Linked DNA regions of Coturnix japonica. The protein of the gene in region 2 interacts with the protein of the main gene of each other region in a pairwise test. Links are inferred from orthologs where the notes say so. Each region holds a gene or a part of one and is shown on either strand. Other genes may lie near its edges.

Evidence for each region. The genes of interacting proteins can lie anywhere in the genome.
Region 1: the proteins of GFAP (region 2) and PDZK1 interact in binary tests that used the Homo sapiens proteins (3 or more experiments, as listed by UniProt). The link is inferred for Coturnix japonica from reciprocal best matches to the Homo sapiens genes GFAP and PDZK1.
Region 3: the proteins of GFAP (region 2) and RIBC2 interact in a two-hybrid assay, tested with the Homo sapiens proteins (2 studies listed by BioGRID and IntAct). The two-hybrid records come from large-scale screens. The link is inferred for Coturnix japonica from reciprocal best matches to the Homo sapiens genes GFAP and RIBC2.

What each region holds. Positions count from the first base shown.
Region 1 is NC_029516.1:83,006,927-83,010,916, forward strand, and holds the start of PDZK1 (Na(+)/H(+) exchange regulatory cofactor NHE-RF3), read right to left. Parts: upstream 2,811-3,990; 5' UTR 2,631-2,810; intron 316-2,630; 5' UTR 314-315; coding exon 104-313; intron 1-103. UniProt on the Homo sapiens protein: A scaffold protein that connects plasma membrane proteins and regulatory components, regulating their surface expression in epithelial cells apical domains.
Region 2 is NC_029542.1:787,764-792,072, forward strand, and holds the start of GFAP (glial fibrillary acidic protein), read right to left. Parts: upstream 2,808-4,309; 5' UTR 2,776-2,807; coding exon 2,345-2,775; intron 1,652-2,344; coding exon 1,591-1,651; intron 1,427-1,590; coding exon 1,331-1,426; intron 1,263-1,330; coding exon 1,101-1,262; intron 980-1,100; coding exon 854-979; intron 739-853; coding exon 518-738; intron 387-517; coding exon 343-386; intron 1-342.
Region 3 is NC_029516.1:64,767,072-64,771,296, reverse strand, and holds the start of RIBC2 (RIB43A-like with coiled-coils protein 2), read right to left. Parts: upstream 2,811-4,225; 5' UTR 2,720-2,810; coding exon 2,600-2,719; intron 712-2,599; coding exon 630-711; intron 1-629. Other genes in the region: SMC1B (structural maintenance of chromosomes protein 1B), read left to right, coding at 3,036-3,171. UniProt on the Homo sapiens protein: Microtubule inner protein (MIP) part of the dynein-decorated doublet microtubules (DMTs) in cilia axoneme, which is required for motile cilia beating.

The DNA of each region.
Region 1 (3,990 bases), on a different chromosome or scaffold from region 2:
CTCGGACTTTTCCACCATAGAAATGGAAGAGAAAGCTTCCAATAGTGACAGCGGGTCTGGATCATGGGAGGTGATGTAGCCTCCAGACTAAACAGATTTGTACCTTTGCATGTTCCTCCTTGTCTACAAACACACCATTAACCCTGAGGACTCTGTCTCCATCCTTCAAGCCAGCCTTTTCAGCAGGGCTGTTCTTTTCCACATTCCGGATGAGATGTCCTGCTGTGTCTTTCTCCACACGCAGGAAAAATCCATAGCTCTTCTTGCTTTTCTTGGTCACTTTGCACTCTCGTGGCTGGAGAACAGAAGTCATCTCTACGAAACAGGATGGAAAAACTAATTGTGAGTTTAAAAAAAAAAAAAAAAAGCAAGCTGAGACAGTTTGCTTCAGAATCCTTAAGGTTTGGGTTCCTGGGAAATCCAGCTGTGCAAAGGGAGATTAAATGAATCCTTTTTACCTGCTAACTCCAAGATGAATGGACTGGCTCTGTGACAGGCATAGAACGATGAACGATGTACTCTTTAACTATTGCAATACCTTTGAGAGGGTCTCTTGTACAGTAAGTGTGGATGACTTGTTGACATATGGACTGAATAAGCAGATTCTGTAGGTGGGCAGAAGATTGGCTGAGCCATTAGGTTCAGAGGGTTTTTATTGGTGGCACTTAATCCAGCTGTTGGCTGCTTTTTATTGACAATGTTTAGGGTTGGTACTGGTACTGATAGATACTGTTTAACATTTTTATTTATGACATGGTCAGTGCAGCAGAATATATCCTCAACAAACGTGATGGATAATATTAAACAGAGGGGAGCAGTCAATAGGATGGTGGTTAGGGATGCTATTTAGAGAGACCTCAACAGGCTGGAGAGAGGAGCTGTCAGAAATATCGAAACATTTAACAGAGAAAAGTGGAAAAAAATCTATATCTAAACCATGCATAACGACAGCACAGGCTGGCTGGTCAGTTTGTGCACTTACGTGTTGTCCTGCAAAACTTCACATCAGTTGGTGTAGCTTTGCAGTGAAGATCAACTGGATAGTGGGCTATATCTGAATGTATCTAGCAAGTCAATGAAGGGATTGTTCCCTGCTGTTTGGCACTTGTAAGGCTATGCGTGACTGCTGTTTTGAGCTCTCTGTGTCACTGACATACTGAAACTAATCCACTGGGGTGGGTTAGGTTTTGGAGCGCAACTTGTTTGAAGAGGGTTTGAGAGAGCTGAGTTTGTTCAGTCTTGGGAAAAGAAAGTAAATGAAAGTTCTTATTTGCATTTTCAAGTGCCTAATCGGATGGTGTAGAAAACACAGATCCTTATTATTCTTGGATGTTAATACTGATGAGAGGCAACAGATACTGGTCGCAGTGAGGGGAAGTCTAATTAGAGAGAGGTAAGGTCAGCTTTTTAATCTCTGGTGCTTTCAGATACTTGAACAAGAACCTAGAGTGGCTGTGGAATCTCCATCCTTGGAGGTGCTTACCTGGATGAGACCCTGATAAACTTGGTCTAAGTTGGCTTGGTTTAGCATGAGCTATTGGACCAGATGAGCTCCAGAAGTTCCTTCCAAGCTAAAATATTCTATATTTTTATGATACAATGAAATTGTCTCGTGTAGCTCATTATCAGTAAGAGAGACATTATGTTCAGAAAGTAAGCAGTAGTTATGATCAAGGAGCAATTCCAAAGTTCGCTATCTTGTTGTCTTAGGAACTCCTGCCAAAGATCCACTATGACATAAGAAATAAGATAAATGATGGCAACTTTCTCCATCCAGGTAATTACCACACTTGATGTGTGTCTTACTGGATTGATTGTTTTTTTTTCTCGCTCCTGTTAGAAGTTTGTGAAAAGCCCAAAGATCTGTTGCAGAGGTTGGCCATTAGTCTCAGCCTAATAAATACTAAAAAATTTCATCTGCCTGCATGAACTCTTTACAGTTCTTTCTTTTTTCTGTTTCTGTATATCACTCACGTAACTTATGTGTGTGAAAACTGACCTTTTCTTTTACTTGTTTTTAGAAGTAGCCAGTGGTCAAATCTCTCCACGTTCTTGATAGCAGCCTACTGCTGAAGTACATCTGGCTACTCATGAAAATATAGAGTATTTGTTATGGAAGCTAAAACTGTGTTGTTAAGGTTAGTTAGTCAGCTTATAGAAAAGTATGGGTGAGGAGTGGGGAGTTGGCAGGGATGTCACTGAAGCTGGAGAAGATGGAACATTTCAGCATGTATGGATAGGCAGGCTGTGGGTTCTGAGTTTCTTATTCCCGTTGGTGAGGTACTTAGTGGTTTTTGGAGTCTAAGTATAGTGGCATCAAGAATAACTTCACATAGGGATGTCCTGCACTATTGTTTAGACATTGTACTGATCTCAACTAGAACTCGGAGCAGCTTTTCTCGACAAACACTGGGAAATTTGGTTAACTCCTGATGTTTACAGAAAACCAGCAGTAAACAAAGCTGAAGGAACAGTAAGCTTTTACAGGACAGATTATCTCTTCATATGTAGAAATGGAGGGAAGACCATAGTGGGCTGCAAACAACTTTTCACTTCATGAAAACTTTATATGCAAGATTATCAGACTCCTAAAACACAGTTTTATATAGCAAAAAAAAGGAATAACTTACCTGTATATCTGTGTGAAGCAGCCTTTGCAGGAATCCTCTCTTGCTGTCCCTCCTGTAGCTGTACCTATAGGTAGGACTGGACTTTGATTGGGCAAAGGTTGATTTAAAAGATGATTTATTTAACCAAGTTTCACTGAATATGCTCGATGCCTTGATAAGCTGCCTTGTCCTTGCCTGCAGAAGTGCAGATCACATGTATTCCTCATCAGCTTTGAATTCTGTTCTACTGATAATTATACTCAAAAAAACTCAGTCAAGAAGGTGATCTTTGCTCTGTGCAAGAACCTTCTTCAGCTATAAGTAGTGTCCTAAAGGAATGTGTTTGGATTGTCATGTGCTGACGATGACTAGTTAGTGTTTGATTGCAGATCGAGAGGTTCCCAATTCAAACCCGTGCACTCCATGTAGGGTGCCAAACATAGGGTTGTGATGGGTTAATCTTGGCCAGCAGTTAGATGCCCACCTATCTATTCTCTCATTCCCCTCCTCAGCTGGATGGCTTGTGGAAGTGTGAGGAATCTGAAATAATGACAGTAATTGGGAGAGATGCAATGTGCCAAGTGGTTGTGATTGAGGGGTAGACCTGATGATTGAGAACATCCCACAGGCCACCTGCAGATGTGAAACATGCATTGCAATCAATGAAAGGACACAAAGTCCCTACAGTGCATGTAGGGAAGTTGTTGAGAAAGACAGTTTCTTTTTGGAAAGGGATGACCCACTTGCAGAATTGTCTTTGCTCAAAGATCAAAGTGTAATTGGTGGTCAGTGTGGAAGGATGAGCAAATTTGTTATGTACCTCAAAGAGATCTATACGTTGCACAATTTGACTTGTACAATACAGGAAGTAATACAGCAGAAACCACCTGAACTAAAAGGGAGTGAGTTTCACATGGAAGTATGTGAATACAATGACCCACCTCAAGCTGGTGTTGGTGCCCAGTGATCCAACATTCTGCTCCCCCTGTCCTGAGTGATGGCCTTGATGAATGGGACAAAAGTCCAGCGGGTATTTAGATGCATTAGATAACATGGAACCTAAGAATGGCGCAAATGATATGGAATAAGGGGATAAGGTTATACTGAGTCTGCCTGGGACAGAGCTAACTTTCCTCGTGGCAGCCTGTGCAGTGCTGTTGTTTGCATTTGTGTCTGAAACAAATCACACCAGGGATTTGGCTGTCATTGAACAGTGTGCGAACTACCAAGACTGTCTCTCCATCCCTCTTCTCCTGCCCCCAGGTGAGTAGAGTGGATGTGAACAAGATGTTGGGGAAGAACAGACCAGAGACAGCTGACCCAGACAGACTGAAGGGATATTCTGTGCCATTTGGCATCATGCTCAGCATTAAGTCATGCA
Region 2 (4,309 bases):
GGGTTGCTTTGAGATGTGGTTGGCCTTAGGGACAGCATCGTGCTTGGGGGAATGGTGGGCACTGAGCTGTGGTCAACACTGAGTATGAGGGCAGTACTGGGGACACAGCTGGTGATGGGCGCACAGTTGGCACTCAGAACACAATTACCCTCATTGTTGAGGTTGGCCTTAGAGACATCATTGGCCTCAGCAACAGGGTTGACCCTTGGGGAATGGTCGGCACTGGGGACGTGGCCATGGCATCGTGCTCATCCCCTCTATATCTTGGGACTGTGGGGGACCCTTCAGGCACAGAGACCTGGCAGCCCCCCCTGCCCCCATCCCACACAGCCGCAGCCTCACCTCGGATCTGCAGGTTGGAGAAGCTCTGCACAGGGACGGTGATCCTGCGGGAGCAATGGGAACGTTGGGGAGAGCACTGGGTCCCCATGTGTGAGCAGGAGGGCTGCAGGGTGCTCACCAGACCCAGCAGCACCAAAAAGGCCCCGAGATAGTTCAGGACAGGGGGGTCCATCACCTGCTCTCCTCGCCCTCCAGCAGCTTCCTGTAGGTCGCAATCTCAATGTCCAGGGCCAGCTTGACGTTCATCAGCTCCTGGTACTCCCGCAGCTGCCGGGCCATCTCCTCCTTCAGGCCGCGGATGTCCTCCTCCAGCCGCCCCACTGTGTCCTGGTAGGCGGACGTCTCCAGCGCGTAGCGCTCCTCCAGCTCCCGCAGCTGCCGCTCCAGGGACTCGTTCTGGTGACCATTGTGGGATGTGATGCCCTCGATGCCACCTCCCTCCATGGGCACCCACCCATGGTGGCACGACCCAAGGATGCGTCCCACCTCATGCCCCATGGGTGGCACCTACCGAGCCCCGCAGAGCCTCCAGGTCACAGGTGAGGGCCTGGAGCTGCCGCCGGTACTCGTTGGCCTCATGCTTGGCCGCACGCAGGGCCTCTGCATGGCGGGCAGCTGCATCCGTCAGGTCTGCAAACTGGAAGGGACGCACCGTAGGGTCAGCTCTCCAGTGCCACTGCCCCATAGAGCCACCCAGCCACAGGAGCAGCCAGCCCAACCCATGGGGGTGATATATGGGGACAAGGTGCCACCCGCACCTTGGATTTGTACCACTCCTCGGCCTCCTGCAGGTTAGTGACGGTGATGGACTCGTACTGAGTGCGGATGTCACGCAGCGCTGCCGTCAGGTCTGGCTTGCTGGCGTCCACCTCCACGTGCACCCGGTGCTGGGCCAGCTGCTCCTGCAGCTCCCGCAGCTCCTGCAGGGAAGCGGGGTCAGCACAGCCATGGGATCCACCCCCAGAGCCCCACATCACAGCAGCGTTACCTCCTCGTGCACCTTCTGCAGGAAGGCCACCTCGTCCTGCAGGGTCCCCACGCGACGCTCCAGGTCGAGGCGAGCCAGGGCAGCAGCATCAACATCCTGCCACCAGGTGACATGGAGGGATCGTACCCAGGGTGGGCATGGGGGTCTGTGCCCCCATCCCTGCCCATCCCTCCATCCCATCCCATCCCATTCCAGCCCTGTCCACAGAGCCCAGGAGAGGAGGACTGGCCCCCACTCCCCATCCCATCCCCTACCCTCACCTGCCGGTATGCAGCCAGGGTGCTCTCAGCCTCCAGCCGCAGGGTGACCTCCTGCTGCAGCCTTCAACAGAGCAGTGACGCATTACTTATTAGGTGCCATTACTCGTTAGGCACAGTGCCTCATTACTCATGGTGGCCACGTGCAGCTCAGCCCCATAGACAGACCCCCCTAGTGCAACCCCACTGCACTTATACCATCCCAGTAGCCATTTCTTAGTTCTGCTGGCTGCTTTGGTCCCCATCACTACCCTAGTTATTATCCTGGTCCTGATGACCTTGTTAGTGCTGCTGGGCTCCCCAATACTTGTTCCAGTAGACAACTTTGTCCCTGGGATCACTATTGTCATGGTGGGCACACCGGTCCTCATCACCATCCTGGTCCTCATCCTGGTTGTGGTGGCCACTCTGATCCCCAGTACCACCTAAATCCCCATTAACACCTTGGTCCCCATTCTCAACCTTGATCCAGTCCCTGTCATCCACCATGATCCTTGTGGCCACCCTGCTCCCTGTTTCCACTCCGGCCCTGCTGCTCATCCCATCACCCATCACCACGCAGGTCCCCATCCTGGTCCCATTGGCCACCCCAGTCCCCATCGTTATCCCCCCTGGTTACAGTGTCTGCCTTAATCCCCACCACCTCCTCAATCCTCATCACCGCTCTGTTCCCCACCACCAAACTGGTCCCCATCCTTGTCCTGTTGGCCACCTCAATCCCCACCCCCCAATCCCCCATTGCAGGACCCCCCCATACTTGTCCCGCAGGCTCCCCAGCTCCTCAGCCAGGCCGTCCCTCTGCACCTCGGCGCGGGCCTTGGCGGTGCCCAGCAGCTCCACGCGGCGCCGCAGCTCCCGCAGCTCCTCCTGGTACACGTCAGCCAGACGGGTCGGCTCCTGCTCCCGCACCCGGTTCAGCTCCAGCACCAGCACCTTATTGCGCTGCTCCAGCAGCCGGACCTTCTCAATGTAGCTGGCGAAGCGGTCGTTCAGCTCCATCATCTCCACCTTCTCGTTGGTTCGGGTCTCCCTGAACTCCGAGTTGAGGAGGTTGGCCATAGAGAAATCCATCCTGCTCGATGTGTGGGGTGTGGGGTGAGCGCTGCGGGGACGGGGCCGCGCTGTGGGGCTCCATGATGAGACAGTGGGGCTGGAGCGGCGGCCGTAGGATGACCAGCGGCTCTCCATGGTGAAGGTGGGTGCGATGTGAGCCGTGGTGGGGTTTTATGGCCATGGCATTGGCTGGAGGCCACGCAGCACAAAGCTGGGCTTTGTGGCACCCAGCGGGGGGGAGGGGGGGGCTGAGGGCTGGCAGCCAGCCCTGTGTGCTAAATAGTGCTGGCAGTGCCCAGAGAGCAGGGGGTAAAAGCTGGGGCAGAGCGGGGACACAGTGCCCATGGGGCAGCGTGGGTGTGTGGGGCACTGTAGGTCCTGGGTGCGATGCCATGGGGCACTATGGGGTGAACCTGGCAGAGCAGGAAGGCTGCTAATTAAGGCCAGCTTTAATTAGCTGAAACGTCCTGAGCCCATTCCAGCCCAGTGGTGCCAGAGCTGTCTCAAAGGTCTCAGTGTGCCCAGCACAGCAATGAGATCCCTTTGTGCAGCGCCGGGAAATGGGCACGGGGTGAGGGTGGGGGCAACGGGCACAGGGACATTGCTGGGCTCAATGGGGTACGGGCATGGGGACAGCCCGGGGATGGACCAGGATCAGCTCAGTGGCTGTGGGTGGGGGACAGAGCCCATAGGTGACAGCTAGATGGCAGCCAACAGCTGAGAAAACCCAACTAGCATGGGAACAAGGGCCGGGCCCCAGCCCAGAGCAATGGGGAGGAACACTGGGAGCCCCTTAACACCCCCCCCTCCGCATTCACAGCCCTGCATCAGGCATCGTCCTTCAGCACCCCCAGCCCCAGGTTTGGTTCTAGAGCTGCAAAACCACAACCCCTATGTGCTGAGAGCCCAAGTGGGGCAGGGACAGCTCTGCTGCTGCACTGGGAGCCCTTTGGGACCCCCCTCCCTTCCCCAAATCCACGTGGAGGGATGGGGCAGAGGGTGCCCCCACTGTGGTCTCCCAGGATTTATTTTCTCCCCGCTCCCACGCAATGGGATCAAAGCAGAGATGCTGTCACTGCGGGGACACAGAGCCAGCCCCCCCCCCCGCCTTAATGAGGCAAACGAATGTAGAAGCTTTAATTAGAAGCTTCCAGCCTGAGAGAAGACAGAGGGGAGAGCAAAGTAGGGCAGAGAGCAGTGACCCCAGCCCCTATGGGGAGCGCTGCATGGGACAACGGGGCCAGAACATACCAGGGGCTGTGGGGCAAAGGCAGCCATGCAGCTTTTGGGGCCTCGGTGCAAAGTCATCACCTCTGCTGGTGGCCCCAAGGACCCCACAGTAGAGGGAGAAATGCTCTGAAGCCCCAAAGGGACAATAGAAAACCACCCCTGGGAGCCCAGCACCGCTCTGAGGCTGAGGGGGGAGAAGCAGCCCCACATCTTCCCTCACTCCTTTGGGTTTAAGCTGTAAGATTTATTAAAAGCGCGTGGTATTGCTTAGCATTGCCCATCTGTCAGCACTCGACACCCCGAGAGGGGCTGAGAGGGAACAGCAGTGATCCATCTGCTACAAAATACATGGGGCTGTGCAGAGGGAGGAGGGCAGGAGGGAGCAGGGAAACCAGCCAGGGAACAGCAGGGCAGTGTTTGGGGTGGTCGCCCTTCTACC
Region 3 (4,225 bases), on a different chromosome or scaffold from region 2:
TAAACTTATGTTGAAAGACAGCAGTAAAATAAGTTTGCCACTTCTGCTTGAAAAATAATAATTATTTTTCTAAATGATCCTATATTTTCAGGTCTCTAACAATGCTATTTATCGTGATTTATTAAAAGAAAACACAGAAGATTGAAATCTATTCAGAAATACATACCATTTTACCCATGACAATATGAATGAATCCCTGTGATAATAAGGAAAACACATTCTACCAATGCAAACATAAATAGGGATACACAAAGGATTCAGTTTGTAAGTCTGAATTTAGACAGAAGCCTAATTGCACATGCACCTAGAAATACATAGATATACAGAACTGATATTTGAGGAGATAGATTTCATTTGAAAATACATGGGTGTCCAACCTTTTGGTTTGCTGGGCTGCACTGAATGAAAATGAATTATATTTGGCCATATATATAAATATATAATATAGTTAATACATACAAGCAACAAAAACATTATTTTTTTATTTTTTTTTATTAAAACGTTAAAAAATAACGCAACAAAAACAAAACCAGTAGGCTGGACGTGTATGAAAAGAAAAAGGAATGAAATACAGGACAAATCTATTTACATTCAACTTTATACAAACATTAGACTATCTATGAATATACCAAATTCTTCATTTCGTGCTTTTTCAGTTGCTTCTTGAAATTTTCTATCCTTGACCTGGGCATCCAATGCATCTTTATCAACCTATTAAAACAAAACAAAACAAAGAGTAATAACAACAACACACCAGCTGTTACTGGCTAAGTCACTGGATGTCATTGTAAGACATAAAAAAAAACTACTGACAATTCTTCAAGAGCCTGATAAAGTATTTTAATAGTCTCTGCCTATTAGAATCATAGAATCACTAAGCTTGGTAAAGACCTAAGATTATCTATTCCAACTATTCCAACTGTCCACCTACCACACATGCCTCTCAGTGCCACATCTACACGTTACTCAAACTATTCTGTCTCATTTCTATAACAATAAAAGAGATGTAAGTTGACCATTTGCTTCACTTTCAATCACTACCCCCCTGCTTTGCTTTCCTGATTTCTTCCAGTTCTTGCTGTTTGTTTTTTTTTCCCCCCTCAGATGACTTCCCTGTTGCCCCTCACACTTATAACCATGCACACCAGAGGATGAGAAGTGCAATAGCTATGGAGCATTTACCTCTGTCACACATGCAATTCTCATTGCATTAAAAAAGGCCAACCCACTCTGGGGAAGCAAACCTTTATAAAATACAGATTTTACGCTGTGTTCTTTTTCACCAGGGCAGAAAGCAGAGGGCCCTCCAAAATACTGTTAATGTGAATGCATCCATCAGTATTTTATCCCCACATGTTAAAAACTACTCAATCCCCAGTTCAAATATTTTTAAGCTGTCAAATATTGCCTTCATTTTTGAATTGTTGCAGACAATCACTCAGATAAATTAGTGAGAGAATGAGAAAACAAAGAATCTAAAACCTCTTATAGAGGAAATAGAGATATACTATATACCTGTATAGCTTTGTTGACTTCACCTGTTTTGGATGTGGCTTAATTGCAAACAGCAAGAACAGTCCCTTCTGTAAGCACTTCTTGCTCAGCCAACAAATATGGTATTATTAAATGATGTTCATCAAGATACTCACAGAATTCTTCCAATACTTTCACTTTAGATGTTTGTCTCGTGTAAATGGAGCTATTAAAACCTGTCCAACGGTCGTCCTACAACAGTATTTGGGAAAGACCTCCAGATATGGTGTAAATCAGCACTGCTCAGTAAAGTACACTGAGATCCAATGATCTTCCCTAAGTGAGAAATGGCATTTTACATTTAATTTTTAAGGCCCAAGAAAAGGCATCTAACAGAGAAAGTGTGTTTCCTGGCAAAGAAAGTTGAACTTTCTTACTGTGCCCACCCAACTTTTTGTTAAAACACATTATTAGCTCCTACCACTTGACTGTACCATTGGCTACCATGCGTCAGGATGCTGTACCAGCCTGTTGAGTTCCTTGCAGGAATTGCTATTTTACTATATAACTGACTGCTGCACAGAGGTCACAAGAGCAATTCCAAGGCAAACGGATCCTTCTGCTGACATGTGAGATGCTTCATTACCTGAGATCACTTAGATCAGACTGTCACCTGCTGCAACCCTACCTGCACAGTGAAGTTAACACACTGGGCTCATTTCTTTCCACTATGCGAGCTCCTAACTTCGATTATAAGCTAGGTTCTTTCCACTAAGTGAGCTTCTAACTTTGATTATAAGCTAGTTATTGCAACAGAGCCCTGAAAAGCAACTTAGCAGCAACATCTAAACTTATTTCACCTCACAACACACGCATCCAGAATGTTAACATGAGATTTCAGGCACAGTAAGGGAAAATTAACTACCACAAGTACAGAATCTTCACGGCTATTTAGATAACTACAAAGTACCACTTGATTTCCTGATACCCAAACACAAATTCGGGGTGTTTGCTGCCTCTTCCCTCCCCTCCCCGGAGCCAGACCGACTCAAATCTACTCGGCTCCACAGCCGGGCAGGCTCCAACCGCGCCCCGACCCGCAAAGGAGGCTTCGGCAGCGCCTCACCCCGATGGTCCGAACTCGCACGTTAAAGATGCGGCCCTGACGCTGCAGCTCCCGCTGCCGCCGCCGCTCCAGAGCGGCCGCCTCCTGCAGCTCCCGCTGCTGCACCGTCAGCCCGCTCATGGCGCCGGCAAGGAGCACAAGCGGCGACGATGGCTACCAAAGCACAACACACCGCATCGCCATGGCAATGAGCTCCCGCCCCCTCCCAGCGCCTGGTGGCCAATCAGGCGGGGCAGGGAGCACGAGGCAGGCTGCGGCCTTCTATGTCGGCCGCTAAGGGGCGAGGCTGAGCTTGGAGGGGTGTCAGCTTTGCCGTCGTCTGGAGGCCTCCTGCTGTGGGGTTTCTTTCCCTTCGTGTCTCCTTCTGGAAGACAAGCCATTAAAAAAAATACCTGGTGGTTTGAATTTTGTGTGTGGCCGAAGTTGGAAGGGGGGAATGGCCTCTGCACCCACTGCCCAAGGGATGGGCTACCTGAAGCTGCTGATGGTGAAGGACTTCAAGTCCTGGCGTGGGGAGCAGCTTATTGGCCCCTTCATGAGGTTCAACTGTATAATTGGGCCCAATGGATCAGGTAGGAGGCTGGAAAGGGGCATTTGGTGGTTGTGTGTGTCCTCCACTGCTGCCAAGATGGAGGTTTCTGTTGCCTTTGCCCTGCTTTCCCAGGCTTTTTCCCAGTCTTAGTTCTGGGCTCATTTTCAGGTCTCTTCAAGACTCATGAGGAAGAACCCATAACAGCAATTGCATCCAAGTGTGGGCCCAGTAATTGGGCTACCACAGCCCTATTATGGCACCGAATGGGCAGCAGCTTGTCCCCTGAGGAGCAGAACTACATGGTTTTGCACAGGGGATGTAGACTTATGTGGCCTCTTTACAGGGACCTGAGGGCTTTTTTTTTTCTTTTGTCATAAAAGTGTTTTATCATGTCAGTGAATATGTCAGATCATCTTTCAGATTTCCTTGCCCCAGGAGGTGGAGTAATAAAGAGAAACAGTAATGTCTCTTAACTTGTACTATTTGCATTGTGGAAAACAGTATGAAAATCTTCCATCGCATGACTAAGGCAAACTTTAAGGTAGCAGGCTTTGTTAGAGGCAGGGAATTGGTTAGACAGGATTTGGTCTAGATTTGATGAGAAAAATAAATGACATTAAGAAATCCAAGGAAAGCTGTTTGGGTCAAGTTGTGTAATATTTTGAATGCTTTCCCTTTCTCACATTTAGAAAAAATAGCAGTATCACCACCAAACACTTTGGACATAGCAGTTTAGTCCTCAAGAGCCTTTGCTTGTCAGTGTGTCTCAGCATAGTTAGGTGGTGGGTGCTGGAAGTTTTAAAACGGGCTCGTTTCTGCTGAACACGCTATTCAAGCAGATGGGATTTTATTCTTTACTTGGCAGAGAATAAGGCGATGCTCTAATGAGGAGCCACAAGGACAGGCTTAGCATTTGGTCTTAGTTCCCCAGTCCATTAGTTTATGATTTTGGTTTTAGATCCTGCTGCTCCTGCAGCTTACAGGTGGTCTGGCTCAGTCTGTGCTGAGCTCCACATCTTGCCCAGCATCATTATGGCACCTGTTCTTCTCCACCAGCTTTTTCCATTGCTCAGCAACAGCCAAACACTGGTGTA